4 linked regions of the Struthio camelus genome follow. The protein of the gene in region 1 interacts with the protein of each later gene in a biochemical or structural test. Links are inferred from orthologs where the notes say so. Each region holds a gene or a part of one and is shown in the gene's direction. Other genes may lie near its edges.

The links.
Region 2: the proteins of BMPR2 (region 1) and BMP2 form a complex in vitro, tested with the Homo sapiens proteins (4 studies listed by BioGRID and IntAct, with this or other methods). The link is inferred for Struthio camelus from reciprocal best matches to the Homo sapiens genes BMPR2 and BMP2.
Region 3: the proteins of BMPR2 (region 1) and GDF2 form a complex in vitro, tested with the Homo sapiens proteins (2 studies listed by BioGRID). The link is inferred for Struthio camelus from reciprocal best matches to the Homo sapiens genes BMPR2 and GDF2.
Region 4: the proteins of BMPR2 (region 1) and BMP4 form a complex in vitro, tested with the Homo sapiens proteins (2 studies listed by BioGRID). The link is inferred for Struthio camelus from reciprocal best matches to the Homo sapiens genes BMPR2 and BMP4.

Annotation. Positions count from the first base shown.
Region 1 is NC_090947.1:9,922,764-9,930,100, reverse strand, and holds the start of BMPR2 (bone morphogenetic protein receptor type-2), read left to right. Parts: upstream 1-4,323; 5' UTR 4,324-4,929; coding exon 4,930-5,005; intron 5,006-7,337. UniProt on the Homo sapiens protein: On ligand binding, forms a receptor complex consisting of two type II and two type I transmembrane serine/threonine kinases.
Region 2 is NC_090944.1:130,843,566-130,850,413, reverse strand, and holds the start of BMP2 (bone morphogenetic protein 2), read left to right. Parts: upstream 1-3,828; 5' UTR 3,829-4,590; intron 4,591-5,369; 5' UTR 5,370-5,376; coding exon 5,377-5,728; intron 5,729-6,848. UniProt on the Homo sapiens protein: Growth factor of the TGF-beta superfamily that plays essential roles in many developmental processes, including cardiogenesis, neurogenesis, and osteogenesis. Induces cartilage and bone formation.
Region 3 is NC_090948.1:22,144,491-22,151,561, forward strand, and holds the start of GDF2 (growth/differentiation factor 2), read left to right. Parts: upstream 1-4,058; 5' UTR 4,059-6,710; coding exon 6,711-7,056; intron 7,057-7,071. Other genes in the region: GDF10 (growth/differentiation factor 10), read left to right, coding at 1,001-1,192. UniProt on the Homo sapiens protein: Potent circulating inhibitor of angiogenesis. Signals through the type I activin receptor ACVRL1 but not other Alks. Signaling through SMAD1 in endothelial cells requires TGF-beta coreceptor endoglin/ENG.
Region 4 is NC_090946.1:79,892,414-79,900,269, forward strand, and holds the start of BMP4 (bone morphogenetic protein 4), read left to right. Parts: upstream 1-4,835; 5' UTR 4,836-4,872; coding exon 4,873-4,949; intron 4,950-7,856.

The DNA of each region.
Region 1 (7,337 bases):
AACTTCTAGTCTGGCACAGGATGATGTCAAAGACTGCAGTAACTCTGCTGCAGTATGGTCCGCTCTGCAGCGGGTTACACAGCAGCAGGGCAGAGCTGGAAAAATCCAGGCCTGAAGACACTTAGGAGTTTGTACTCACAAATGTTTTCTTTTTTTGAAGGCTGGATAGTTGCTGCTCTTTTCTGTGTTTCAGAGACAAAGGGGGAAGAAAAAAAAAAAAAAAAGACATAATAGTCTTCAGACGGGCTTTTTTGAGTCCAAAGGCCAAAAGTAACGTCTGGCACAGATTATCTGACTGGACTAAAGGGGAAACGAGTTCCCTCCGAGGCAGGAATTCAGTCTGCCGTTTCCTTAAAGCTGTGGGTCGGCTGGCGAGAGCGAGAGCCTGCTCTGCCACGTGCTGCCGCCACCGGAGGCTTGATGGGTTTATCTCCCATCTTGGCAGGACAGACAGGGCTGTCGCTGGTGGTGCTTTTCCTTCCTGTGAAGAAAACCGGAAAGTTTCCCTCACAAAGGATTTTTCCAAGGTTTTGGGCGGTCGTTTCCCCCGTGGGCTGCGATGCCCCCATCCCGGCTATTTGCCGCCTTGGTGTCCCTCTTTGGAGGAGTCGGTTTCCTCAAGGCGAAGCCGAGCCCCGGAAAGGGGATGGAAACCAACCCCCTCCGTTCAGACCAGGTGACGGTGGCGCTGGAAAATCTGTCCGCCCTAGAGAAAGGCACTTCTGGATCCAGATCACTCCTGAAGTCCCCGGGGTGTTCACTATTTCTCCTTTAATGACGGTCTTCCCATAGCCACCCTCGTTTTTGTGACCTTTCACTCCCGGGGGAATAATGGGGGCGTCTCGGTGCGACACCCCGGATTTGAAGCCGATGGGAAAAATCTGTGTGAAATAGGTAGCCCGATACCTACAATGGCAACAGCGTCTGTGTGTGATTACTTGTTTAGCTGCAATGGCTGAAGCTTTTCGCTGCTAACTCAGCAGACTGCAAGGAGCAGACAGTATTGTCTTTTTGGCTTGTTCTGGCTGCAGTTCAGGATGTTAATAATAATCTGGAGAGCTATGTAAGCCTGGGATGGCAGCTATCGGCAAGCCCCTCTCTCTCGATGCGCTGCTGCAGGAGGTGAGATCAGGGAAGATGATCTTGCTGACAGGTTCCTAATTTAGCAATGAGTGGCAGGCGTTTGCAGCGGAGACCCACACCAAATCCATTATTTATGAAGATACTGCCTGGGGTCCAGGATGGGAGTATTTATTTGTAGGAAAGTCTGTGAACATCTTGATTGTTATTGTTTTAAGGTTTGTTTATGCATCACCGTCAACGCTATGGGGATGCTTTGTTTTTAAAGAAACAAAAAATCTCTTAAAAACAAAGCACCGGGCAGTGTTGTTGTCCTCTCTCCCCAGCATTTATGACAGCATTGAGAGAAACACCCTGGGCAGGCTGATGGGCAGCCAAGTAAAATTTATAACTTATTTTAAAGAGATTTGTTGACATCATGAAAGGCCTTGTCAAAAAGAGCACTCCCCCGAGTCCTAACAACGATAATGGCTGTATGGCGTCAGCACTGAAATACTCTTGGATAACAGCGAACCTATCCCGAGAAATATTTGCAATGTTCCTGAAAATTGTGTTTTCTAAAAAGGAATAGGGCAGGTTGTTTTGGTTTTCTTAATGCTTTGATTTTATTTTCCACTGATTGGAATATTCACTTGGAAGCACAAAAGTAAGATTTTCTATATGCTGGGTAATTAAAAAAAAAAAGTGTTGTTTAAAGGAGACACTGCTAACAAGGACACGTGTAATTACTGTCATGTACAATCTTGAATTTGCAAGTGATACCAATATGTTTGCATGTGCATCGGTATGACAGCAGGAAATATCTGAGGTATACATCCGCCTTATTTCCCACTTCAGCGTCTCACTCGAGCATGGAAGCAGCGTAAAGGGCAGCTCCAGTAAACTGGATGCGGCCGTGTCATTTAAAGCTCCCTCGCCCCGGGGCAAGACAGACGTGCCCTGCAGCGGAGGTGGTGCACATCAGCCTGACATCTCAGGGAGCTCGCAAACGCGGTAGCCTGGCGCCGGCGTCTCTGCCCTCCTCGTGCCCTGCCTTGAACGCGCGCCCTCGTCCTGCCTGCTTGCGAGCACCGCGGATGATAGCTGCGAAAGGGTAAGGCCTGTTCTCCTATCCCTATTTTTTTTTTTTACAGTCTTTTCAAATTAAGTTCAATCTTGTTGTTTCACGGGGCTAAGTTCTTCCTGGTGGAAATACAGTGCTTCAGCAGAGCATCTTCCTTTGAAATCTTGGTAAGTTTTAGGAGGTTTTCTTGGCCTTCTCTCTCCTATCCTTGTTTGGACCAACGCTGAATATTTAAGTTGCTGCAGCTTGGTAAGTTTTCATTATTCTAAGTATTTTTCTGTCGGTCTCATTTGGCATCGCTGCACATTAGGCTAATGAAATGCTAGCATACAGTTAAAACAATATCAAAGAAAGAATGGTAAATATGCCTTTGTCCAAGCAGATAGCAATAAGTGAGCCTGGGAATGACAGTTTAGGTCTCTGGTTTCCTCCCACCACTGTGGGAAAAGGAAGCTGCCTCTGTGCTTAGACAGCAGCAACTGCTTCCTGCGTCTGCGTGGCAAAAGGGGCGTTGGTGCATCCTGGGGCCGGAGAACCGGGGCTTCGGCAGCCCCACGGCTCCGGCGCCCACGCTGCACAGGAAGGCACCTGGCCCCGGGCAGGGGCAACGTCTTCCAAAAACTCCTCAGGGTTAGGTAGGGAAGGAGGCAAAAGCCTTGCAAGGTGCTGGGGACGTGGGTCCAGGAGATCAGACCAAGGCCCTCACCCAGGTGAGGGCTCAAGCTCAAGCGAAGCAGATCCACAGCTGCGGTGAGGTCTTTTGCAGGCCCATGCATCTTCTGGGTCAGGGCCTGTGTTTGTCTGAAGCTGTGAGGAAATTACTGTATTAAAATTGGCCTAAGCCTTGTTTCTTCTTTACAGAGAAACAAAACACAACAAAAACCCAATCCGCTCTCTGGAGAGAAAAAAAGAAAAGTAAGTATTTTAAGGCATAAAACTATTTTATGTGATTCCTTGTGAAGAAGTGCCAATATTAATTAACGGTCCAAAACTACAGCTATTAAAACCAGAGGGAATTTTGTCTTTACTTCAGGATGAGCCAGTTTCAATACATGTCATAAACAATTACTGTAATTTTCTTTTAACCATCCAAACAGTGAAAGTGCTGCGTAACCCGCCTGGTTACGTTCTTGTTTTCCACGAACAGAGTCGATCTGGCTGCTTTCACGGGCGGAAAGCGCGTTGCACAGTTAGGTGTCTGCACCAAACTAAACGCTGGATTTTCCGCCCCGCGGAAAATACTCCCGTGTCGGTGTGCTGTCCTCTCTCGGGGGCAAAACCTGTTGTTTGGCTGGTTTCTAAAGGTTATTTCTTGACAGTTCACGTTCCCCACACAAGAGGAAGGATATGGTGGTTAGCATGTGGTTACAATTCTGGCGAGTGGCAATACCAGTTACCATCTAGGATTCCCTCTGTCATCCTCCCCCATCCCCCCCCCCCCAAATATCCACGGTAAATCTGCATGGATTAGGAGTAAAAACAGGGTGACCAGCTCTTAAAAATCGCGGGTAGCTGTCAGCCGCGCGACCTTCAGCTCCGACGTTAGCAAGGTCAGGCCACGCCGCGTCCGGCCGGTGTAGCACAGGTCGTGCTAGGCTTGATTTTAATTATTCTGTTAATGATTCTGCTGCGAAGGCGAGCACCAGGCCTCAAAAAGCAGCAACGCAGCGTAACAACATGGAGGCGCGGGCGGGGCGCTGCGGGGCCTTTCTCTACCTGCCCGGAGGCCTACCTCTATGGTCGGCGCGAAAGGGGGGGGCGGGGGCGGGGCCCGGGCGGTGCGCGGCGCGGCCGTTGGGGAGGGGGCGGGGCCGGGGCGGGGCGCCCGCGGGCCGGGCGCCGAGACTGGCAGTTGGAGCGACTCCCCTTTGTGTCTGGTGCGGGAGCCGTTGGGGCCGTTGGGGCGGGAGGGGGCGCGAGCCGCGGCGGGGGCCGCGCGGCGCAGCGGAGGCGGCGGCGGCGGCGCCCTCCCCGGGGCTGGGAAGGAAGGAGGCGGCGCGGAGCTGCCCCTCGCCGGCGGTGGCAGCGCGGAGAGCCGCGGGGAGGAGGAGGAGGGAGCTCGCGCCTCGCTCGCCGCTGGAGCCGCCGAGGAGCGGCCTCGCCGCCGTCGGGGCGGCCGCGGGGGCAGGGGCGCGCGGCCGAGCCCGCAGATGGGCCGCGGTGCCGCCGCGGCCCTCGCCGTCAGCGCGGCCGCCTCCCGCCTGGCCGCGCAGCGCCTCGGCGCGTCTCTCCTTCCCCAGGCGCGGAGCGGAGGGAGGAAGGAAGAGCGAGACCTTTAACTGGGCGGGATGCCCCTCTGCCTCGAGCCGTTGGAGCTTGCTGGCGGCGTCCTGAGGCGAGCGTGAGGCGGCTGCTAGAACTGACGGTCGTTAGACGTTTCCCCGCGCCTGGATATGTTCGCTCCTACACCCGGCTGTTTCTTTGATATCGTGAAGCTGCGTGGGAAATAAGCTCGGTTCCCAGAGCGAATCGCGAGAATCGCCCCTTCCCTGGGAGAAGGGAAATGCCTTTGGGCTTGCAGGCAGAAACGGGCTTTCCCCCCGTTCCCCAGAAGAAGCGTTGCCGCTTCCCGAGACATGAAGGCAGCCTGGTGTAATGGAGTAAGAGCAGCAGCGGCCCCTCTCCTCTGCCGTTTGCCCTTCCAGACTGGATTGTAAACCGGGAGAGTTCAGCAAGGCTGTTTGAAAAAAGAGAGAGAGAGGAGAAAAAAAAAAGAGGAAATTCCTCTTGTCGTTTTTATTCTGTTATTTTTCCTCCTTCTGCCTCGGCCCTTGGCTTCCCCAGGTATGACTGCCTCACTGCAGCACCTTTTGCTGGTGCTCCTGCTCTCCAGTGCCACCCTGCTGCTCAGCACTGCGGCTGGTAAGTAGCCGGGGGGGGGGTACTGAACTAGCCATTTTGGCACGGGGAAGGGGGTGGGGTCCGCCGGCATTTGCACCCGTCTGGGTCTGCTGAAGGAGCGGCGTGCATGCATGCATGCATGTCAGCCGCCGAGCCCGAGGAAAGTTCCTCAATCCCGATACCTTAACCGTCTTTGAAAATAAAATCTGCTTTATTGTGTAAACGAGCTCGACCTGCGTTCGAGATGTGTGTTTTGTCTGGATCCGCTTCCCTTGTCTGATAACTTGCTTCAATTTTGGAAAAAAATATATAATCTTTTTGTTTTGCATACCTAGCCCTTTGTAAGGTAAAGCAGGGATTTTTAATATATATTTTAATCGGCAGCGGAGCTGTGCCTGTTTTGCTGTGGGATCTTTTGGGCACAGCCATTTTTAATTTTATCAGCATCGCTGCTTTTAGGGGCCTTAAACATGTGCTGCAGTTTTATGACAGACTTACTAGGACACATTTCTTTTCTTGGGGGAGAAGTTTGAAACAAAAACGTGGCGATTTCTATTGTCATTTGTGATTACGGAATAGTAACAAAAACGCTGTTGAAGAATACTGAAAGATCTTCAAGTCAGTGTTCTTTTTTAACAGTGACTTAGAGGCGTGTGTTCTAAGAGCATCCTTATGCTTATTTGGGGGCGTTTAGGTCCGCTTTTGATGTTGCTTGGAGGCTCAGTGTTAGATACATAGGATATTTGAACATGATATTGGAAGAGAGATCAGTATTGCACTGGCATCCTTTGGTTTTCTGTCATGGTGACTGATGAGCACGTAGGAGCTTTCTGAGTGTTACCAGCTTTGTTAGGCGCTAGGACTGATTCTTCTCAGTGTATATGTTTTCAGCAGTTCTGGAAGACTCTTAGGATTTTGGCATCTTTTAATAATCAGGAGCTAATTTTGAATGCCCACTCTTGTCAGCATTGTTTTTGCAATCTGATGTGCCTAGTTCATAGATGAATCCTTATGGGAAAATTGCTATATCTTGCTAAGGTGACCTAATAAGATGATGGTAGTTTCTGTATTACATTCTAGTGATTTGTTTTAATTGAATTATTATCAGTGTTGAAAATACTCGGTGTCATTATTTGGAAAAGCCTGTCCATTAGACATGTTTAGGTAGTTTCTTTATTGCTCTGACAGTCCCTGATTTCCTCACTTCTGCTTTTTTTAAGAAGTCTCTTTGGGGAAGATATTAAAATGAAATGATTGACTTTGCCTACATCAGCCTGACCTTTGACTGTTGATATTTTAGACTGATACCTGCTCTATCTGTCTGTGATAATTTCTTCAGAGTTTTTTTTTTTTGGGGGGGGGGGCGTTTTTTGAAAAAGGGACTTTTGAAGGTCGAAAGCCTTTGTATTAAAGTGTGGATGAGTCAAGAACGCCAAGTATCTAACCTTTTCTCTTAAATATAATTTTTAAAAAGCGTGGGCTTTTTTTCAGTTTGGAAAAACTTCAGTGAATTGGTAATTCCTTTATTCTGATGAGGGAGAAGGGCTACTGAAGGAGAGGCAGTGCCGATTTGAACCAGGCCAAGGGCTGGGCAGGTGCAGTACGAGCTCAGTTGGACGGTTTTGCCCGTTCACCTCAATCCTGACCTGTCAACAGCATTCCTATTATTTCAGTTCTGGTTTTGTTTTGTAAAAAGAGTATTAATGATGCCAGCTTGTTTAGTTGTCTTGTGAACAGAAACCGGTTTTCCCATTGTGATTTATTTCTTAATTGTGAAATTGTAACAATCTGTGTTATAAAGCCTGGGTCATAATCCTCTGTAAGAGTAATTATATGAATGATTTGAGCTTTACTTACAGTCAACCATTAGTAACTTTAAGTTTATACTACATTTCAGAAACAAATGGCTATACATGGGGAAGCTACACTAATGTGTAATTCTGCCCTTTTATGTTCATGAAAGAGCCAACACTATTTCTTCTCTTCCCCACCCCTCCCCCTGAAGTATGAACTGTATACTCACATCACGGTGAAAATGCTGGCTTTATAGCTTTGAAAACCTCGGTTAACTGCTACTTCTCATTAGTGACTAGATCCTGTGTCTCAGCACTATATAAAATTGAGTGTTGATAAACGCAAAGAGGGAAAGTACTTGCATAGATTGGTAAATTTCCGTCTCAGGAAGAACGCTGAGACATCCTTGAGGTAGCTCACCAAAGCCCTGCACTCAAAATATGGTCAGGAAAGGAAGGCTGCTGAAGTGCATGAAGAAAGAAAATCATGTAGTGGGGCTGTTGATGACTGTTTCGCTCATAATCTGGAGCATGAATGAAGATGGGATGTGGTTCTTCCT
Region 2 (6,848 bases), on another chromosome or scaffold:
TATCGGGGGACAGAGGTCTAAAGTGGGAATTTTCAAAAACGCTCAGTATAGGTCTCACTAGTCTGTTGAAGTCAATGGTAAAACTGTTTACTATCAATGTGCATGAAGTGACGATAATGTTTCTGGAGGCTTGTACCTCTAACTATACCAGAAATTATGTCATTCGTCACTAGTTAGAGACACTGGTGAACATTTCTCATGTAGATCTTTCAGCTGAAGTCTTCTGCCCGTAGCCATCGATAAAGACAGTCACAATTTAACCAGCTGGAGAAAAGAGACTACATAGTGGCAGCATATAAGAGTGATTTGATAGAGTATTTGTAAGAGGAATATGCTGTAGAAAATTGTTTTCTTCTTTCTCCCTCTAGTCGTGAAAAAAGGGCTCTCACTGTGTTGTAAAACTTATCCTCATTTGGAAACTTTTCTACCATGTATTAAGAAAACCCAGCAATACCTAAAGTTGAGATCCATCAGCTGTATTTGGACTCCTGCAAAGGAACACCTGGGTGTGAAACCTTAGAAGCAGGTGCCTCTAACTGAATACTCAATGGCTATAAAAAAAAAAAAAAGAATAAAAAAGCAAGTGCGGGAAAGAAAGAAGAAAGAAATTAATCAGTCCAATCAATGATACAAGGTTCAGAAGTAGGGATATGAATGAAGTTTCACAAAGGAGATTAACGAATATGCATGGTCAGGTTTCCTAAAACCTAATGTCTGTACCAGATCTTTTCAGTATAACTGGTGGTTTCTCTATCAGGAATGTAATTGAAGTTCAGGCTTGATCTGAAAAACTGTAAAACTAAATGGCGCGGTGGGACTCCACTCTGATGGGGGTGGATCTTCAGCTGATGTATCACTTTACTCCCTTGATTTCACTGAGCCTATGTGGAATTACAGCATCACGAAATACAGCTCATTTGTCTCCAGGAGCATTGTCTCAGGTTCATTGCCGTACAGCTATAAGGGTGGGAAAGGCAGAAGGGTGTTATGTCTGCCGTGAAAGCTCAGTCTGGGAACTAGAAATCTGGGTGGGCACTTCCTGGCATGTTTCCACTTCACAAACCAAATGTTTCATTTCTTAAACCTAAATGCACCCGTCTCTAAGGCTGTTTGTAGCATTGCTGCTTCTCATATTATGACCTCAGGAGTGCTGACGCTACGGAAGTTACGGTAGCAGGTCTGAATGCAGTGTTCAGAGATAGTGGGATGGTTCTCCAGGTGGATAATGAGTCAATTGTCATGTTGATGAGACACAAACCGTAACTGGGCCTTAATGGCAGACGCAGTGCAGTTACACAGAGCTCACGGCCAGGACGACTGACCCAAAGACTTTCCTTGTAAAAGGAGGCACCTGCAAACAGCCAGTTTTATGAATGAGCTCTTCAGTTTAGGGGTGTACAGAAGCTATTGTGAACACTGGAAGCAGGGCATCACGCTGAAGGACTCTTGGGACTACCCTCCTGCCTTTGCAGCGCGATAGCTTCCTGCCTGCGGGTTCACCTCCGATCAGCATGTGACCTATGGACGCAAAGTGACAAGATATACAAAGTCTTGCATGCCTGACCTGTTTCACGTGACAGATCTGCTGTGGCTATCTCTGCATAAAAGCCTTCTGCAGCGCCACCCTGCTCGCTCAAGGGTTCACTTCTAACACAAACGTCTTTTGAGGGAAAAGGGGAACGACACTTTCAGAAGCTTATTCACTAGGGCGCTTGTGGATGGAGGCTTTGGTTGAAAAGAAATTGTATGCATTCTGGTGAGAAATCTGCATGTGCGCCAAGCAGAGCGGGGAAGGTGCTGGGATGCGTGTTTTTGAGGTTCTGGTAGGGGATGCCAGTGCATGCGGGGACACGCTATGAGCCCTTCCTGTCTTCACTTGGGACCTTGTGCAAACAAATGGTAAGACAGAGCCGCTACCCCGGGTGCTCTCAATCTGAATAGACTAGAGAGATGAAAAACTAGGAGAGGAAACATGTTTTCCTGTGTGAAGCATTAGTTTTTTATGACCAAGAGAACGGAAGACTGTGTGAACTGACAGGCGGAGAGGAGGCAAACCTACAAGACCCTCTTGATATCAGATCAGAATATATCCAGGCCTTTGGAACAACCATAAAGATACTTCTCCCTTATAAGGTCCATCATCCTAATATAGAAACCTCCTGGAGATAAAGCGAAGCTGGGCATACAGTACAACCTATGCTCCAGGCACAGGGAGTAAGTGTTGAGGCAAGAAATGACTTTTTCCTGGCATGACCCACTACAGATTGAACTGGAATGGCAATTAGAAGTTGAAGTGCTCATTTAATGTCAGTGATGTGTAAACTACATTGCCATTGTTATTTTAGTGCTGATTTACATAATTGGCATACCCTGAAGTCACACTGCATGCACTTTAAGTTCATGCTAAAGAGTTGCAGGAAGTCATAAAATTAAACATTATCTGAAATGGAATGCAACAGAAAAGTTACTAAACTTTTGAAGGATTTCATTTTGGTCTGTGTCACATCTCCTGCCTGTGGCCCTGGGCACGGCAGCGAGCGAAAATCGGAGGTTAACAAGTCCTGGGACTTGTCTGCATGGAGAAAGAAGCTTTACCAGCTCTTTAATTATATTGGTGTAGTTCTAAAGTGGTTTTGCTACACTGGTATGTAACTCTCCTTGTTAACATTTCCTTCCAGGAGTGACGTTTTGCCAGTATAGCTTAAGTCAATCTAAGGAGATAGGAAAGCCAAAATAAGAGGGTGCACATGAGGAATTGCTGCACTCTAACTGTGCTGAATTGTTGCCTCAGACTGGTAGTTTTCCTCTGCTGAAAAGCCCTAAGATGGAGGGAAAAGGCCGCTCCCAAAGGAGGAGCTGGTAATGGAGCTCAGTTGTTATTGCTTTAAATCCTCCTCCGCACAGTAATTCAACGTGTCAAAGGCTGTCTGTGTCTTTTGCAAATGAAGCCCCCGAGAGGTATCCGAGCAGGAGGCGCGGCGCTGCCGCCGGGTCCCCCGGCTGGGGTCGGTGCGCTGGCGGCCGCAGCTCCCAGGACCCTCGCTCGCTCGCTCGCTCGCTCGCTGCCCGGGCGGGGAGGCGAAGGGCCCGGCCCCGCCGCGGAGCCCCGCGGGACGCGCCGCCGCCCGCGCTTTGCTCCGGCGCCCGGCGGCGAAGTGACTTGTCCGCGCCGGCCGCGGGCGCCGCCGGCTGCGCGCGGGGCCGGACCCCGCCGGGCGGCGGCTGCGCCCCTCCCGCCGCGGCCGGGGCCGGGTGCCGCGGTCCGGCCCGGCCGCAGGTGCCCGAGGGGGCGGGAGGCGGCGGCCGGCGGGGACGGCCGCGGCCCGGCGCAGCTCCGGCGCGTTTCCGCCACTGGAGGGCACCAGCCGCATCTCAAACACCCGGCGCCGGCGGCGGCGGCCGCGCACGGCCCCGGCAGCCCCGAGGGAGGGCGAGGCCGCGGGAGCCGCCGCACCTCCGCGCGGCGCGGGGCGGCGCGGGGCGGGGCGGCGCGGACCCCGCGCTCCGGCGCTCCGCGGGCGGCCGCGCCGCGCGGAAACGTCGGGCCGGCGGCGGCGCGGCCGCCCGTGGGCGCGGGGCCCCGGCGGCACCTGCCGGGAGCGCGCTCGGCTGCGCGGCCCGGGGCGGCGGCACCGGCGTCGCAGGGCGCGGAGCCGCTGCCGGCCAGGCGAGGCGAGACCAGCCCGCGCCGCAGCCTAACGGGCCGGGCCGGGCCGGGCGCCCCGCGCCGAGCCGAGCCGAGCCCCGGGCGGGCTGGGGGGGGGAGAGGAGGGCGGGCAGGAGGGAGGGAGGGCGGGCGGGAGGCGGCGTCTCCTTTAAAAGCCGTGCGGGGCCGCAGCCCGCTCCCACAGGGCGGCTGTGATTGGCGCGGGCCCGCGAGCCTCCGGGGTCGTGACATCGGCGCGCAACAAAAAGCCCCGGCGGCGGCGCCCGGCCACCTCCGTCAATGGTGCGGTGCAGGGGCGGGAGCCGGGCACGCCTGCACGGCGCGCGGAGTGTGCACACAGAGCGGTCCCCGTAGCGCTGCCGCCGCCGCCGCTCCACGCGAGCCGCGAACAAACTACTCCCCACCCTTTTTTTTTTTTTTCTTCCCTTCCTCCCTTTCCTTTTCCCTCCCCCCCTTCCTCCTCCTTTCTTCTTTCTTTTTAAGGCAGCGGAGAAAAGTCAAGCTTCATCTTAAATGTTGCTGCGGGAGTCTCAGTAAATGTCCATCTGTCTGATGCTGATGATGCAAAGGACATTTTTTAAAAGGAGCCTTTTAACTCCATAGACACATAGGCACCCATTCACGGGCAGGCACACGCACACACACGCGAGGAGGAGGAGGAGGAAGAAGAAGAAGCAACAACTTTCTGATCGCTGCTTTTAAAAGGGAGAAGCCCTTCCCTGGCTGGGACTTGCCTTCTGCCTCCCAAGCCAGCTGCTAAAAGTATGTTTCTGAGGCGGACCGTACTTCAGGGAACTTCTATTTTCTGCTCGGCAGCTGTAGAGGAGCAGCAGCGAAGTTTGGAGTAACACCAAGTGATGCGGGAAAAACACCCCGAGAGCAGAACACCCTCCTGCAGACACAACCCCCGCTGCTGCACACAGGTATAACCCCGGCGGTCGCAGATCCGCTGCAAGCCTTCTCCGCAGGATGACTCCGTGGGCCACGGCGGAGGTGCTAGCGCTCTGGAAGAGAGAGGGGGGACGGGACACTAGTCATAACAGTAATAATAATCCAGCGCAGAGTTTCACGGGGGAGAAGAATATCCTGTGGGTTTGGCTAAGGACGTAGCAGGATTTCCCTCTTCCCCCCCCCCCCTCCTTCTTCCACTCCGCCGAGAGAAAACACCTCTGCCTCTCTCTGCGCGCGGGGAAGCCTCTGCCCCGCCGCGGAGCCGGGGAAGCGGCGCGGGCAGGGGCGGCGGGCCGGGCCGGGCCGGGAGCGGCGCGGGCAGAGCGCGGCGGCAGCGGACGGGACGGGACGGACGGGCCGGGCCGGGCCGAGCCGAGCCGGGCGCACACCTGTGCCGCGGCGGCCGCGCTGACAGCGGCCGCCTCCTCCTGCCCTCAGCTCGGCCCGCTTTGGTGGCGGATCGCCCCGCTCCCCCCGCCCCGTCCCGTCCCGTCCCGTCCCGCCTCGCTCCCTTTGATCTCCTGCCATGGGGATTTTCGTGCCTTTCTCCGCCGCGCGCTCCCTCCGAGCACCTGAAACCTGCCTGCCCCGCGCCGCCTGACGGGGCCGGCGGCGGCGGCGGCGGGGGGGAGGGGGGGTCGGGGTCCGCGCCGCGGCCGCAAAGCGGGGGGATCCGCGGTGGGAGCCACCTGCGGGCCGTGCCCGCGCGGCGCCACCGGCTCCCATCGCCTCCTCCTCCTCCTCCGCGCAGGTTGATCATGGTTGCCGCCACCCGCTGCCTCCTGGCGCTGCTGCTCTGCCAGGTGCTGCTGGGCGGCGCGGCCGGCCTCATGCCGGAGGTGGGCCGGCGGCGCTTCAGCGAGCCGGGCCGGGCCGCCTCGGCGGCGCAGCGCCCCGAGGACCTGCTCAGCGAGTTCGAGCTGCGCCTGCTCCACATGTTCGGGCTCAAGCGGCGGCCCAGCCCCGGCAAGGACGTCGTCATCCCCCCCTACATGCTGGACCTCTACCGCCTGCACGCGGGCCAGCAGCTGGGGCAGCCGCCCGCCCTCGGCTACCCGCTCGAGAGGGCCGCCAGCCGCGCCAACACCGTCCGCAGCTTCCACCACGAAGGTAGGTGGGCAGGGGGGGGGGCCGCGGCGGCGGTTGGGCGCGGGCGGGGGCCGTTGGCGGTTGGCGGCGGGGGGCGGTTGGGCGCGCGCGGCGATGGCGGCCGTTAACGTGCGCGGCCCGCGCGTGCGGCCGTGCCGGGCGGCGAGCGGCCGCGGGACGGGGGAGGAAAAGGGGCCGGGCAGGAGGAGGAGGAGGAGGAGGAGGAGCGTCGGGGGCAGACTCCTGCCCAGGAGGGCATGCCTGCGCTCGGCCGCTAATGAAATGCGTTTTGTCGAGTTTACAGGAACGGGGGTACTCGGTTTTGCTTTAAAAGCCCCGCTTAGAGGACTCTGAAGTTTCTGTTCCTGACGCGCTTATTCAGCAAAGCGCCTTCCTCCTCCCCCTTCCCCCACCCCCCACCCCCCCCCCCCCGCAGCCGATGAGGGGCCCTTATTTTATTTATTTATTCTGCGAAAACAGACCTGCTCCAAATTAAGCCTTCCCACAGATAGCTTTTCTTTCACAAGGCCAAACACCAGGAAAAAGCTCCCTAATTCACAGCTGAGCTGGGGTCGTTTGGGAGGTTTCTAATCCTTATCTAATCCCCGTGAGAGATCAGTGAAACAGTCGATTGTGGCGTTTCCTCAGCGGCTTTCTTGCCCCCCCCGTTGGGTTGAGGAGCACCTCAGCCTAGACCTGAGCCACACCACGAAGGAGGCGGGCGGGCGAACAGGCTGGTAAAAGCCTGGCTGCCGGATTTCAGGTGCACCCCAAGACCTCAGGTAACCTGGCCGAGCCTTCAGCAAGGTGCCAGATGGCTCTGCAGAGGCCGCGCGAGGTGCGTGCCCACCAGAGTGCTCTGGGGTCCCCGGGCACGGCCATCCCGTCCTCGCCGGGCCCTCGGAGGCGGCAGCGGCGCCATGTTGGCCCTGTAACGCCACCGCCGGCTCGCGCTTTGGTGAGGCGCTGAGTGCCTTCGGCTGCCTGATGCGCCCGCTTGCCGCTTCGGTGACTGACTAAACGCACGCAAAGGAGATTACCTTCAAAAGGAGGCTCTCTGGGATAGCGGCGTGTTTTTGTTTTCTTCCTCTCGCCCCCGCTCCAGTGACTGACTTAGTCGGTGCGCTTGCCCGGACTGAGG
Region 3 (7,071 bases), on another chromosome or scaffold:
CAAGTGTAGCTTTTGAATAAATGCTAAAAATATAGGACTACCATTTAACTATTAAATAGCATATACTATTTATATAATCTTAACACTCCTTTTCTTATTCTCAATGTTCTTATACCTAAAAATCTCCATTCTGTCCTCTTCTCAAATATTTTTCCTTGTGTTGTTCTACTGCATACAAAAATCAATGGCAGAAGAAGGTGGCTCAGTATTCTGAACAGTAACAGCTGTTAAGCTGTTGTGAGCTCTCACTTTATATGCCTCCTGCCCTCCCAGCTTTTTGTTTTCTTCTCCCACTGTGAGGCTTGTTAGAACTTAAAAAAAAAAAAAAAAAAGCCCAGCAAGAAAGGCAGAGGGAAGCAGACAAACTACACATTTGTCATGGAGGTATGATGAGAACGGGTCTGTGAGGTTGCTTGATAATTTTAGGGTAACTCCCCCCTGTGGACACTGTTCCAGAAGCCCTGCTACATTAGAATTACTCTTTTAATATACAGTGGTTATTCCAGGAAAAAGTAACTAATTCTAGGTTAGTGAACATGAGAAGAATTACTCCTGGACTACATGAATAGTTATTTTGGAAAGAATTACAATGAACAATTTTCCCAGTCAGAGGGTGAGAAGACAAGAGATAACACTGTACGATGGAGAAGCACGCCCCACCTTAGCCATTTTCTCCTGCATGCCTGCCTCCAGAGTTTAATAAGTGCAGTCATGGACACTCTCCTCGGTTTTTCTAGGCTACTGAATGCTGGCTATGCCACCAGTGCCCTCCTCTGGTATTTACGAAGGCAGCACAAAGAGTACAAAATATCTGATAGATGCCTCCTGGGCAGGCAAGCTGGAAATGGGAGGGACTGACTGTGTTGCGCAGCCCTGTGGCTCATACAAGTATATTCACTTTTTTGAGAAACAAAAAATCATAATGTTGTCATTTTCCAAGCCTATTTGGGAAAGTGACTTCTCATAGATGAAGCAATAACTACTTCCTTCTATGTTGCAGATTGTCCGGCCATCAAACCATGCTACAATCCAGAGCATCGTAAAAGCAGTGGGCATCATTCCCGGCATTCCAGAGCCCTGCTGCGTTCCTGACAAAATGAACTCACTCAGTGTCCTCTTCTTAGATGAGAACAAAAACGTGGTTTTAAAGGTATATCCCAACATGTCAGTTGACACCTGTGCCTGCCGATAAGTTCATGCAAACACATCTTTAACAAGACCTAAATATCCTGCCCGACTACACTGAGAAAGTTGTGAATGGGAAATAAATCCACTGTTGTTAATGAGCAGATGCAAGCCTACAACTTCTACAGACAGCATGCAGAGAGACTAAAGCAGCACACCTGCTCACCTGGAAGGATATGTCTTAATATCGTCATTTGTCTTACAAAATTAACAGTGATTCACCTTCCAGGAAATCAATACTCTACAATTTCTTCTTAACCCATCTAGCTGAGAAACATGGTATATAGTGCAGAAATTTAAACGTAAAGTTTTCCATAATCAAAGGACTAAAATATGTTTTTATATGCTATTTTTCTATTTTATCTCCTCAGTTAACCAAGAAGATGGGAAGTGAACTTGCAAAGGCAGGCTTATTCTAGAATACCATTTGTGTACACAAATCAAAACTTTTTGCCTAAAACACTCATACTCTTAATCTGTATATTTATACTGAAAATGCTGTAATAAAGGGCTTAATATGTATATTTTCTTCAAGATTCAAGTGTAGTGTACTGTATAAGCTTTTACATATACAGTATGTTAATATAACCATTTTCGGTTACCCTTCCCTAATATATAATTTGTTCTACAAAAGACACATGTAATATCCCACACTCTTGGTTTGCTGGATGATTTCAGGTTGTTAAACATATATTCTCTGAGTAACACATACTATATAGTAATATGTTGAAATACTAAAAACAAAATAACTAAGATTTATATTTTTGTAAATTATACTTTATATCCTCTAGATTGTTACATGCTTTTAACAAAAGCTAATAAATTAAAGGTACAGTAGTATCTAAATATAGTTGAAATGTCTTTCTATAATCCACTTGGTTACATTCTGTTAATTAGATGGAAACATGTAAATGCATGTTAAGCTTGTCATAATGAACATCAATAGATTAAAGCCAGAAGGGAATATTTTGCTCATCTAGACTGACCTCCCACACAGCACAGATCAAAGAGCCTTGCCCAGTAGTTTCTGCATCATGGCTGAAACCTCTGTTTTGAGCTTGGGAATATCTTTGAAAAAAAGGCATACATTTGCCTTTAAAGATTTCAAGTGACAGAATATCTCTACTGGACTACAAGTAGTCATTCTAATAGTTAGTCATCTTTGTTAAAATGTAGCGGCTTACTCCTAGCCTGAATTTGTTGAGCTTTAGCTTCAATTCACTTGATCTTACTCTAACCTATTGCTATTAGGTCCCTTTTGTCTAATATTCAAAATACTTTCTCTGCGTATTTTTAATATATACAGCAGGCTCAGATTACATCTTGGCAAAGAATTAATAGGTACTTTGATTTCTTACTATTCCAAGCCTCAAAATAATTCCTCATGGCTCTTTTCTGAACTCGTTCCAAAACTTTAACTCTTTTTTTCCCAATAATGAACATCATAACGGGGCACAATATTCGGCAGTGGTTCCATTTATAGAAATGGAAATAAATCTGCTTCCCTCCATCTCATGTATAATCCTCTCTTGATACAACCTTGATAGCGCTCTTAACTACAGCGCTCTCCTAAGAGCTCGCGTTCCGTTACTGTGACTGTTATTTATCTTTCTCGGTGTTATCGCATGCCAGGACAAACTGACCATGCTCTCTTCCGTTTTCATTAACCTGTTGTACAATAGCATAAGACAACTAGGAGCAGAACAAACTACTGAAGTCTGTGAGGCAGGACAAAGTGCAAGATGCGGAGAGTTTACCCCTCAAGGGGCAGTCTAACCTTTTGCACTATCTTGCCCGATTAAATTTGTGTTGCTTAGGAGAACGATACTATACACACTACCTTCTGATGTGAATGACTTCATTGTGAAGGCTCCTGTCCTGCTAAGGCCCTAGGTAACTTCTGCCACCGATATTCCATTTTTATGTGGTAAAGATTCCCAGCCAGCAGAGGTGTGTAAATGTGGCACTTCTTGCTAAATCACTTAAAATCAAGATTCAGTGTGTACGGACTTATCTGTCTGCACAGCCACTCTGTCCACAGTTCTTCATACTTCCTCCTAAACACCTCTCAATAAGTAGATAGCTCTGAGGCACCTTGTAGTAACTGCCAGTTAGAGAAAGGAAAGAAAGGGCATAGATCCAGGTAGGCATTTCTTCTTCTCCCAAATCACTAGTGATTTGCAAAGGAACTACTGGGACAGAGCTTTGTGTACTGCTGCTATTAAAGATCTCCCTTGCAAGGTCTTGAGTTCTTTTCATAGTTACAGAGTAAACTAAGGCTGAAAGAGTTAATACTAATGCATAAGTTAAAAAGTTCTCAGAAATTCATCATTTATTCCTAGGGTACACCCATAAGTATAAAACTTTCTTAATTTTAAACCATTGTCATTTCTGTCCCTGTGAATATTTACCTTTTCTGCAGGATAGTTTTCCTTCCATTTAACATCAGCTCTGAATAGAATTAGCCTAGTGTAATAGTCCGGTCTATTGCATTTTGTTTTCTTTAGGGAATCTTTTTTTAAATTCCGAACTACTCCTTGAGTATATCGTTGCTTTCCAAGATGTGCTGAGGCAAGCGGTTAGGAAAGAGAGATACCATCCCCTGATCTGTTATAAGGCCTATAGGATGTAAGGGAAAACGCTGCTCCTACACACAATAGGGAACCTATAAAACCCCTAAAGGTGTAGTCCGCATTTAAAAGTATTGTTGGCATAACTATGTCATTTAGCATGGGGAAAGTAAAATTATACCCATAAGTGGCATAGCTATTCCAGCTTCCCCTATTACACAAGCAAGACAATTCTCTTATTTGCAACGTTTATTTTATCTGGAGAAACAATGTAATTTAGAGAAGCAAAATAAACTCTCATGTTTGTTACTAGGTAGGTTTTCTGGTTTAGCTGTACTGGTCAATCCTTTGATGTGGGCAAGGCCTTAACCACTATTTGTTTAGAAGTGGCTATTACTTCCTGGGGCTTTGATATTTAGATGTCTAATCTGTGCCTTTACAGAAGGAACCTTCGCATTTAATTCATTTAATTGTTTTTAAAATGGCACAAATGCAGTTGCAAGACAGTGATATTCTTCTAACAGCTCTTCTGATTCCTAGGAGCATCCTATAAACCGTTCCACTCAATGTGCAAGTTACTAGGTAAAGTTACTATGGACAAACACTTAATTAACAAGTCAGAAAAATTCCACTAAATAATCCTAAAAGAATTGAGGGTATATTAATATGGGATGATTAAAGACGGAAAAAACAGGAAAACAGCTGATACTAACCAGCAAAGTATTATGGAAAACTGTTTTTCTAACACAAAATCTCTTTAATTCTTAGAGGTCCCAGTTTAATTGCTAGAGGTAACTGCAATAGCTAGAATGTACTCAGGTTTTTGTGGAATATTTTGACCCAGCTGTACAAGGGAGCATAATTAAAATCCAGATCACTGGACAATATTCATATATTTGTGTATCACATGAATTAAGAACTGTCTCACTGCCAAATGTCAAAGAGCAGCTTTCAAAAGGGAACTGTCACCGAATAAAGCTGCTCACTGAAGAGTTTCTGCAAAGATGACAGTTGGCCTGAGACTATTTGACAGCTTCATATATGAACTGGAAGTCAATATATAATAACCCAAATAGTATTTGCAGAAGACACTGTTTAGGAGAGAGGTATTTGTATAGAGCACTTGATCAGGCTGCATTCTAGTTAATCAAAATTCATTTTAAGGTAGACAAATGCAGAGCGTGGTACCTAGGCACACGGAATGGAGGCTGTTCCTACCGAACAGGAGACTATGCCCTTGAAAGCCATAATTCTTTAAACAATTTGGGTGGGTATTTTGGACTTACAGCACAATATGAGACTCCAGGGTGATGCTATATAAAGAGAGTTAATGAAGGCATTGAAAAGATAAACAGTAGAGTAGTAAACCACAGAAGGAATGGAGATTTCATTTCTACACGTGGCACTGGTGGAGTGTCACTAGAAAACTATGTATAGCCCTAGAGCTCACCTTTTCAAAAAAATACTGAAACTCTAGAAGAGACACAAAAACAGCAAGAAAAACAGAGAAAATGTCTTATAGCACATGACTTAAAAAATACAATCTCTTTATCTTATCGGAAAGCAAACGGAGAAGCAACTTGATTATCGGGTACAAGTACTCTGATAGGGAGAAAATGCCAGCACTATGGAGCTCCTTAAGCTGGCAGAAAAGTTACAAGAACTAGTGCCTAGAAGGTGAAGCCAGGCACAGTGAAATAGTAAGTGAAGCACCATTTTTTCTAAGTGACAGTGAAAATCTTCTAGAATAAGTGCCAAGAAATGTGAAGAAATCTTCCATTTTTGCAACACCTGCACATAAATCCTAGAGACCTTTACAAAAGTTATGCTTTAGCCAAACAAAAGTAATTGGTAGGAAATTACTTTGGTAGAGGTAGGAAATACAAAGTCCTTGAGAGAAATATAACAATCTTGCTATTCAGGAGATTAGGATCAATGCCAAATAGCCCTTCTAACCTTACACCATAGAAACATAGTTAACCAGAATCTGGGATCCCAGTTGTCACCTGAACAGACACAGGAGTATTTCAGTAGCATGGGCTCACTTTAAGCACTCTGTATGCACTCCTGGAAAACTGGAGAAGAATGGACGAGTGCTGAGACAGGACAAAATCTTTTCTGTATCTTTGCAACGAGGTATTTTTGTAACGTAAGAGCTCATAATACCATTCTAATCTCCTAGCACATACACAATGTGGATTTGGCTGTACTTCCCATCCACCAAAGGAATCAAACTGCAAATGGACAAGCCTGCAAACAACATGAAGCAAACTTGACACAAAACAGATATTTCACTGTGTACAAATAATAGCTCTTTGCTGATAAACGGAGAGAAATTTTAAGGTTGTTTGTATTGTTGTGAGATCACGTCTTGCTGAATCACAGGTCTCCATCAAATGGTTGGGGATTTTGCAATGGTAGGTGAAGGGACTGTAACAGAGATTTGTGAGGTGTTATTCACTAACAGCTGATAGACTAATTTTGTTCTGAACCTCGATTTTCTAGTCTTGATGAAAACAGTGTAATCCTCCACGTCCCTAAGAAAGCTTCTCCCTGGGTTGGCAAGGAAATGGTAAAGGAGTGTAATTAAGCAATGATGACCCCAAAGTGAAATGTGAATTCTTTACAATATACAATGTCTTTCCCACCAGCCATATGTGTTTGTCAGATGTTTATAGAATCTTCATTAACTAAGAGCTTTGCTAGATAACAGAAGCTGAAGCATGGCATCAATGACTCAGATAAGGGCAAGTGTACAACCAATCTGCTTGACAACTGACAAGAGGCTGGGGTTTGAAGCAGACTGCAAAAAGAATTCAAGAAAGTGATTTGCAAAGGGTGCACCAGTTTTTTGCCTTCTATCTACCTCCCTCTGTCTGTAATGAAACAAGAGTTTTAATCACCTACAATTTCATTGTCCTCTTGTCTCTTCATCAGAAAGTAAATACAGAAGAAATGCACTATTTTGGGGTACTGGCTGCACTGTCTGTTTTCAACATCATTGCCTGTTTGACAAGAGGCAAGCCTTTGAAAGATTGGGACAAGTTACCAGCTATGGAAAAGTCTGATGCACACTTTCATGATCCTGGGGAAGTGGAAGATGAGACCCATTTCGACTTTAAATCTTTCCTGGAGAATATGAAGACAGATTTACTAAGGAGTTTGAATTTATCAAGGGTCCCTTCACAAGAGAAGACCAAAGAAGAACCACCACAGTTCATGATTGATTTATACAACAGATATGCTGCAGACAAGTCTTCCATCCCTGCATCCAATATCGTGAGGAGCTTCAGTACTGAAGGTAGGAGATGTCCTA
Region 4 (7,856 bases), on another chromosome or scaffold:
TCCAGTCTCTCCATGTCTCCCTTGTACAGGGGAGCCCAGAAGTGGACCCAGTAGTCCAGGTGAGGCCTCAGCAGGGCTGAGGAGAGGGGCAGGATCCCCTCCCTCCACCTGCTGGCAACGCTCTGCCTGATGCACCCCAGGAGACCATTGGCCTTCTGGGCCACGAGGGCACCTTGCTGGCTCGTGGTCACCTTGTCGTCCGCCAGGACTCCCAGGTCCTTCTCGGCAGAGCTGCTCTCCAGCAGGTCAACCCCCAGCCTGTCCTGGTGCGTGGGGTTATTCCTGCCCAGGTGCAGGACCCTGCACTTGCCTTTGTCGAACTTCATGAGGTTCCTCTCCGCCCACCTCTCCAGCCTGTCCAGGTCCCTCTCAATGGCAGCACAGCCCTCTGGGGTATCAGCCACTCCTCCTAGTTTTGTACGGTCAGCAAACTTGCTGCGCAGAGAGTGCGCTCTGTCCCTTCGGTCAGGTCACTGAGGAATACATTGAAGAAGACTGGACCCAGTACTGATCCCTGGGGGGACATCACTAGCTACAGGCCTCCAACTAGACTTTGCGCCACTGACCACAACCCTCTGAGCTCTGTCATCCAGCCAGTTCTCAATCCACCTCACCGTCCACTCATCCAGCCCAGCCTTCCTGAGCCTCCCTATGAGGATGAGGGTTTTCAAACAAATCAAATGCAATGTATCTACACTGCCGGAGCATAACACTCAAAGCTCATGAATTTGTCTTCATCAGCATGAAACCAGCACAGTTTGGGTTCCCTTCCCAGTCAGTTAATAGTCTTCAAGGTCTCAAGGAGTGATTGTACCTCTCTAATCTCATCAGTGAAACATGAGCCAGAGAATTTCACTGTGTCATTCCTGCTTACATGTCAAAAGCTTACATGTCAGACTCTACCTGGTAGAAGAGGAAGTTATCCCATCTTGACTTACAGACTTCAAATGAGAAAGAATTTACCATATCCCAAAACAGCTTATTCCAGTGGTTAACTCTCTTCCCTGCTAAAAATGCACCTTTTACTTTTTAAACTTTGGGATTAATCTTTTAAAAATGTCTTCATAACTGTGAAGTTTTGAGATCTTTTTTAATTTTTAATGAGCCTGGAATTCTTATATAATAACAAGCTGTTGGGAAATGAGGCTTTGAACAAAACATTTAATAATGCAAGACCGGTGATAAAATGAATAGAGCTAGAAAGACTGATCCTGCCGAATTACCTAGTCCTCCCAATAGGAATAGGCAATGACTGAGCTTTATTGTTTTTACTAGCAGATAACTGAAGATTATCTCTTACAATTTTCTGGAAAAGAGTGCAGTCTGATCAAAGAGACTCCTATCTGGCAAAATGAAACAGATTTAAAATCTGTTTATCCTTTACAATATTGTGCTAAGCTTCTCTTGGTCCCTAATGGGCAGCAGACGACTATACCATGCACCTCTAATTGGAGAAGCTCATTGCATCTACTGGATCTGTTTGTAGTGAGCCGCTTGCAGGAGACAAAACCTTGGCATGGGAAGTTGCCTGTCTCCTAGGGCGGCTGGAAGGGGAGCAGAATTCCACGTCTGCCTGGGTCCACCCACGCAAACAGGAAGGGGGCCGTGCCAGATGATAAGTCCAAGTTACCATCCAGGGGAACGAGATGCCAGAGAGGATTGTTTTCATTTCCATGGGATTTCTAATTAAGGGACATGCTTTAACTATGTTTTCAATGGCTGAACATCCAAATGACAGTTTGATATGAGCAATTTGTCTGGCAGGCTAGATAAATTCATACCAAAGCTAAAGGATTTTCCGTTTAAAATGGGTGCACATCCTTAACTGTGAATCGGATCAAACATTCTTGTAACTAAAGAATCCTCTTTATGTAACAACTTTTTTTTAAGCTTCATTCTTTGCAGTTTTAATGATCAAAGTCTCTTTTTCTCCTGATTTGTCCCCAGTCATTGACTCTGCAAAGTGCTTGTTTTTTTTCTGAACCCTCATTCTTGTTCCAGTTTGATGAATGAAGGGAAATGTGTATTCCCATTTCTGCTGTCCCACCCAGCCTTAATGAGCACTAGCATTGTCTAACTGACTCCTGGGGGAATTTGCTACCTGCATAGCTGTTGGGCTGGGCTCTTGCAGCTGGATTTCTTTTGATGCATTATTTTCTAGAGATGTTATCCACTGTCTTGTGAACAGGTAAAGTGAGGAAAAGGGGCTGGTGTATTTCTGTCTGGGGAAATTAGGCAAAATCTGATTAGGCTATTAGCTGTCATGTAATTATGGAATATTGGAAATCACAGAATGACAGAATGGTTTAGGTTGGAAGGGACCTCTGGAGATCATCTAGTCCAACCTCCCTGTTCAAGCAGGGTCCTCTAGAGCATATTTCCCAGGATCACATCCAGGCGACTTTTGCATATCTCCAAGGAAGGAGACTCTACAACCTCTCTGGGCAACCTGCTCCAGGGCTCTGTCACCCTCTCAGGAAAGAAGTTTTTCCTCAGGTTTAGATGGAACTTCCTGTGTTTCAGTTTCTGCCCGTTGCCTCTTGTCCTGTTGCTGGGCACCTGTGAGAAGAGTCTGGCCCCATCCTCCTGCCACCCTCCCTTCAGGTACTTCTACCCGTTGATGAGTTCCCCCCTGAGCCTTCTCTTGCCCAGGTGGAAGAGGCCCAGCTCTCGCAGCCTTTCCTCCTAGGAGAGATGCTCCAGTCCCCTAATCATCTTTGTCGCCCTCCACTCATGAAAAATGCTGCTTTGCTTGAAGGATATACTGCCTTTTATTGCATTCACAGAAATAAATCGAAGACATGGTGTACATGGCCAGCAGAGATGATGTGAGCAAAAATTAGGTGGGTTTATACGAATCGTAGTATGAAGCTCTCTTGATAACTTTGCCAGCTTCAGCTAGAAGGACTTTGACTGACATTTGTTGTAGTTTAACTCTGAGAACTGTGAGCTTTGAGGGCTATGTGGCTGCATAGTCTCCCTTCCCCGCATCGTCATATGACACCACCCAAAATATGTCTGAGTGGAGAATACAGTTATTTTTGGTACTGTCCCAGAAACTTATCAGGTGTAGTGCAATTAATGAATCAAGTGCCTTAAAAACATCTGTCCAGAAGCAGCAGATACTCTTTTGGTGACTGAGTACAAGAATTTCATTCAGAAGACTGACATGCAAAAAGCTTTTTTTACATCGTTTCTTCATGGTGTATATGTGCTGCTGCTTCCAAGGACATGGTATTTTTGCTGTACCAATGAAAATCTGCCTGCACCTGGGCAAATCACAAGACTGAAAATTCTCAGTTTATATGTGATCAGTGGAGATTTAGCTGAAATCCTCAAGGGGTTAGCCTGCCCCAAATGTTACTGCTGCACAGGCTGTTGCCACAGCCTCCCGCCATGGTGCCTGAAGGGGTCTGAGAGCAGGACTGTAGAGATGGCTGCTCTAGGAAGGAACTGGAAGCTGGCTTTAGAGCTTATTCCTTCTATGCCCTTGTTTCTTGCCACATCAAAAGTCAGAAAATGTAGAGGAGGAATCTATGACTTGTTCAGAGAAGACCAGAGATAGCAGAAAGGATGGGGGAAGGAGAAGATGGGAGCAAGCAGTCTTCCAAGATTATGTGTGAGGCAGTGGGGTGAGCAGGAGAGGTGGAGACTAAAAAGCCACAGGAAACTGAGTCTGGGTAGGGGTAACAAGATGGACCCTGTTGGCTGAGAAAGGACGCAAAGAGGTGGAGACAAGAAACTGGATGAGGGTAATAAAAGCAGGAATGCATTGGACTGAAAGCGTTGTCCATGGCAGAGAAGGGAAGTAGAGAAGGTTGAATGTAGAGGGGGAAGCAGGGCTAGAGAACCAATGTTTATGGGAGAGATATATAAATAGAGTGGGGACTAGCTGGCCAGGCAAAATGCAGACAAAGTTTTATGAAGAGAAGTGAGACTGGGTGTGAAATTGAGACCTCAAAGAGATGACCCTGGGAGGAGACCAGTGCTGGCACGAAATCTAGAGGTGGATCTCAAGCAAGATGAATTTGAAAAGGATATGTTGAACCAGTCAGGCTTTGGGACAACAGCAGCCATTTGTCTCCAAGCTGGAATGAAACCTGGAGCCAGGGGCACACCATCCCATCACTGTCAGCAAATATATCTGAATTCCTCTGACCTCTGAAAGTGAAATATGTCTTTTCCAAGCCTGTACTGCTGTTCTGCAGAGAGGATGGCAAGCAGCTGTGGGAGTCAGTGCTCTGTTTGCTCAAAGGGATGAGGTATGCAGGTGACAGAATACTTCTCTGCTCATTAACTGTATGTTATCAATGTGCTGGATATTTTGTTTTTTCAGTGTGCTTATTCAGAAATCTAGAAAGTGCAACATGAAGCCAGCTATGCTGGAAGAACTTCACAACATGTGAAAGAGTAAGGAGAATAAAATAATGAATAGATGCTCAGGAATCAAGTATCATCTGTAGTGGAGAATGCCTAAAGCTGATGGAGAAAAAAAGTGGGCTGAGAGTAGAGAGAAGGCTTGTGCATCATTGCCTGTAGTCCACGGACTCAAGGCATAGGCAGTCTTGATCTGCATGTTTTCTAAGTCTGGAATGATTGACTTTGCAACTGTAGTAACATTCTCTGAACGTAGTCTTGGTCAATAATATAGAGCAGCAGGTTAAGGAGGCAGGGAAGGTTTATGCTGTTCAGCAGGGAAGAACGTGAGCAGATAAGTAATTGGAGATAAAAAAAGTGGAGAGCCCATCTGATCCATCATGGCTGAAATAGCTGTGTTTATTAGTAAAACCGAAAGAGAAGGACTATCTCTGTGTTCTTATTTTCTATAATAGGAATGTTTGAGAGTCCCAGAAGAGATCCTTCTCCAGGAAGATGGTGTTTGCATTGAGAAGCCTACAGCCTATAGAGAAGGCGGGCACAGAGCAGGAAAGGAGCAAGAGCACTGAGAGGTAAAGCAGGTGGCAATGGTTAGCAGCAAAGCTCATCACTGAACTTCTGAATCTCAGTGCAGTGATGTGTCTGTTAAATTGTACTGCTGTTTGGGCTTGTAATGAAGCCAAAAGGAGGTCTGAATAAATGTTCAAGACTAAAAGCACTATGGGATTTCTGCCCTAGAAACCAGAATCCAAAATGGGTTGATTTTATTAAAAGAAAAGTAAAGAAAAAAGCAAATGGATCAGAGCCTATTCTGAGTGGTGCTGCTGCCACCAAAATACACACTGAACGCTCTGTAAGGAAAGGTGAAATCTCATTAAAATGAGCAAGACTACAGGCCTGAGCCCTGTTGGGAGATGCAGGCATACTGAAAGCTGTTTATATTGGCTAAGAAATACACAGGTTAATAGCAGTTTTAGCATTTACACAGGACCCTGCAATGTCCTCAATGCTTTACACAACAAATAAAAAAGTTGTTAATTACTTGTCCTGAAGATTTATATAATGCAGTATTAGTAAAGTTGGGACAGCACGAACAGAAGCGTTGATTGCTGAACGTATGCAGGCTGTTATACCCGGGAACACACCAGCTTTGTGTTGTTCCTACCCAGACCAGCCCCTTGCTCCTAGGGCATTGATTTTACCCAATGTTTGTGCAGTCAAATTCCATACTAGATTTAACAGGAATTTATATGAGTCTTTTTGTATACAAATCTTGAGTCTTCTTCCCTCCAATCAAAAAAATCTGAAAGTGCCAATTACCTTACCAGATTTGTTCCTAGGATTTCGATGGTCATTTTAAAAATGAAAGTTTTCAAATTAATTTAAGTGCTGCTTATTTGGCTTTCAGTACAGCAATGTTTGTCTAGTAGCAATAAAGCAATCAGAAGTGAATCTGGTTAGTTATGTCACAACTGAAAAAGAGTATGACAGCATATGTTTTAGTTGAGTTTATTTAGAACATCCTGCTGCTAAAATCAGCCTACAGAATGGTCAAATTTCATAAAAGTAACATTTGGACTATTTGTGCTCAATTAGACGTTTATTTAAAATTTCCTCTTGGTTTACTGATGTAAATGTATTGTTCATTTTTCACATACCAAGCACTGTTGTTTAGTCTCAAGGGAATTATTGTTACAAATTTAACAACTGTGACATATTAAAAAGCACATTTAAGGAAGAAATTAAGGGTTGAGAGGATGTGACCAAATGTTTCCATGGTGTTTTGCCAAAACGTCACTTAAATGCCAATGCGATTTTAGTAAGAGTTGCTCTTTCAGAACTCATCTTGCCCACGAAAAAATAAAATAAATCTCGTCTGCATAAGAGGCAGGCGTACTTTCATTGCACTTGCCGGAAAATCATTTCCTAAGTTTTATTTTCATTTTGGGAACTACTTTTAACTACTGGCTGATTATCATGTTAGTTCTCTGTATTAGGCAGCTGATTAGCGAGGAGGAAGTCGATAGCTTAGTGTGGGGAAGTAAAAATGTTCAAATTGGATGCCTCGTGTAGGCACCTGCATCCCTAATTAACAACTAGCCGATAATGTCAGGAACTGATTTTCAGGAAGTTCTTTGTTCTTTGAAAGTCAGGCCCCAAACTGAGCAATGAAAAATAGAAACCTGGGACATCGGTGATTACTTCTGAGAAACTCAAGCCTAATGTCAGAGCAAGTTGTGAATGGTATATGTGCAAGTCTGGGAAACTGCATCTGTGATTGTTTTTCTATAATTTTGATTGCCTTTCTAAAGTTATCAAAATGGGATTGTTCTAAGAAGCAGTTTCTCATGTGTGTTCTGTAAACAGAGAGCTTTCTGGGAAAGTGGCTGTAGAAGGCATTCCTGGGAGATACATCCCTAGACCTGAGCACTATCATCTGAGCATCTTCTTCCAGCTGCCTACTATGGGCATCACGACTGCTTCAGTGCTCAGCTCAGCAGCATAAGGAGCATTGTAGGCGCTCTTCTATTTAGAATGATTTGATCCCTGATGACGTAACTCAGGCTGGGACTGAAGACCCCAAGCTGAGCTAAATGTGCTCCTGGACCCATGAGCACAGGTGGGGGGAGGCCCCAAGTCAGGCTGGTCAGGGCCATTAAGGCCCATTAGTGCCCTCAGGGCCCCGACACGGAGAAGCCAGAGAAGCCGTGGTGATGCTGATGTTAGGTGCTCTAGTGGGCAATTTGAAAAGCAGAGCTATGGTTCCTCTGGGTTGCAAACCTCACGCAGGATCATTCACTTTGAGATGATCAAGGCAGTTTATGGTGGCCAGACGGAAGTGCAGAACAGTAACACCCCTTTTCCTCAGAGGATGGGGCAATTGTTCAGACATAGAGAAATGTAAAATGCATGCTCTTTAGGAAGAAAATGAGTTATATGAGTAATTATCCCTGGTGGCTGTATTCCATGATGATGGGCTGACTGGCAATCGATAGCAGAGTAGATCTGTATAGCAGAGTTAAATATCTGTTCCTCTTAGCAACTTTGCAGAATTGCACTTTCTTTATGCTTGTGCCTCAGCACAGGTGAGTAACTTGATGCAGCCAAATCTCACACTTTCTGAGCAATGCTGAGTTATGCGAACATGCCCTGTGTAAACAGCAGCCCCTGGGAGAGAAGGGGCTCTGGGAGAAACAGACCTCGGTGTTGTTTGCTTCTCCCACAGACAAGCCTGGGTGCACTCACTTCTACAGCCGTGCATGGTAGATTTTGTTTATTTAGCTCTCCTGTGAGGCCGTGATAATTTATGTCCAGGAAAATATCATTTCTTTCCTCTTTGTCTTGAAACCATTAATTATTTTCAGTTGTATTTAAAAAAAAAAAGTGTAGGAAAAAACACATATGACAATTAACAATTGCCAGAGCCTCTAGGCTTTCCCGAGCCTTCTCCTGTGAAGAGCTTGGTCCTGCCACTTGCT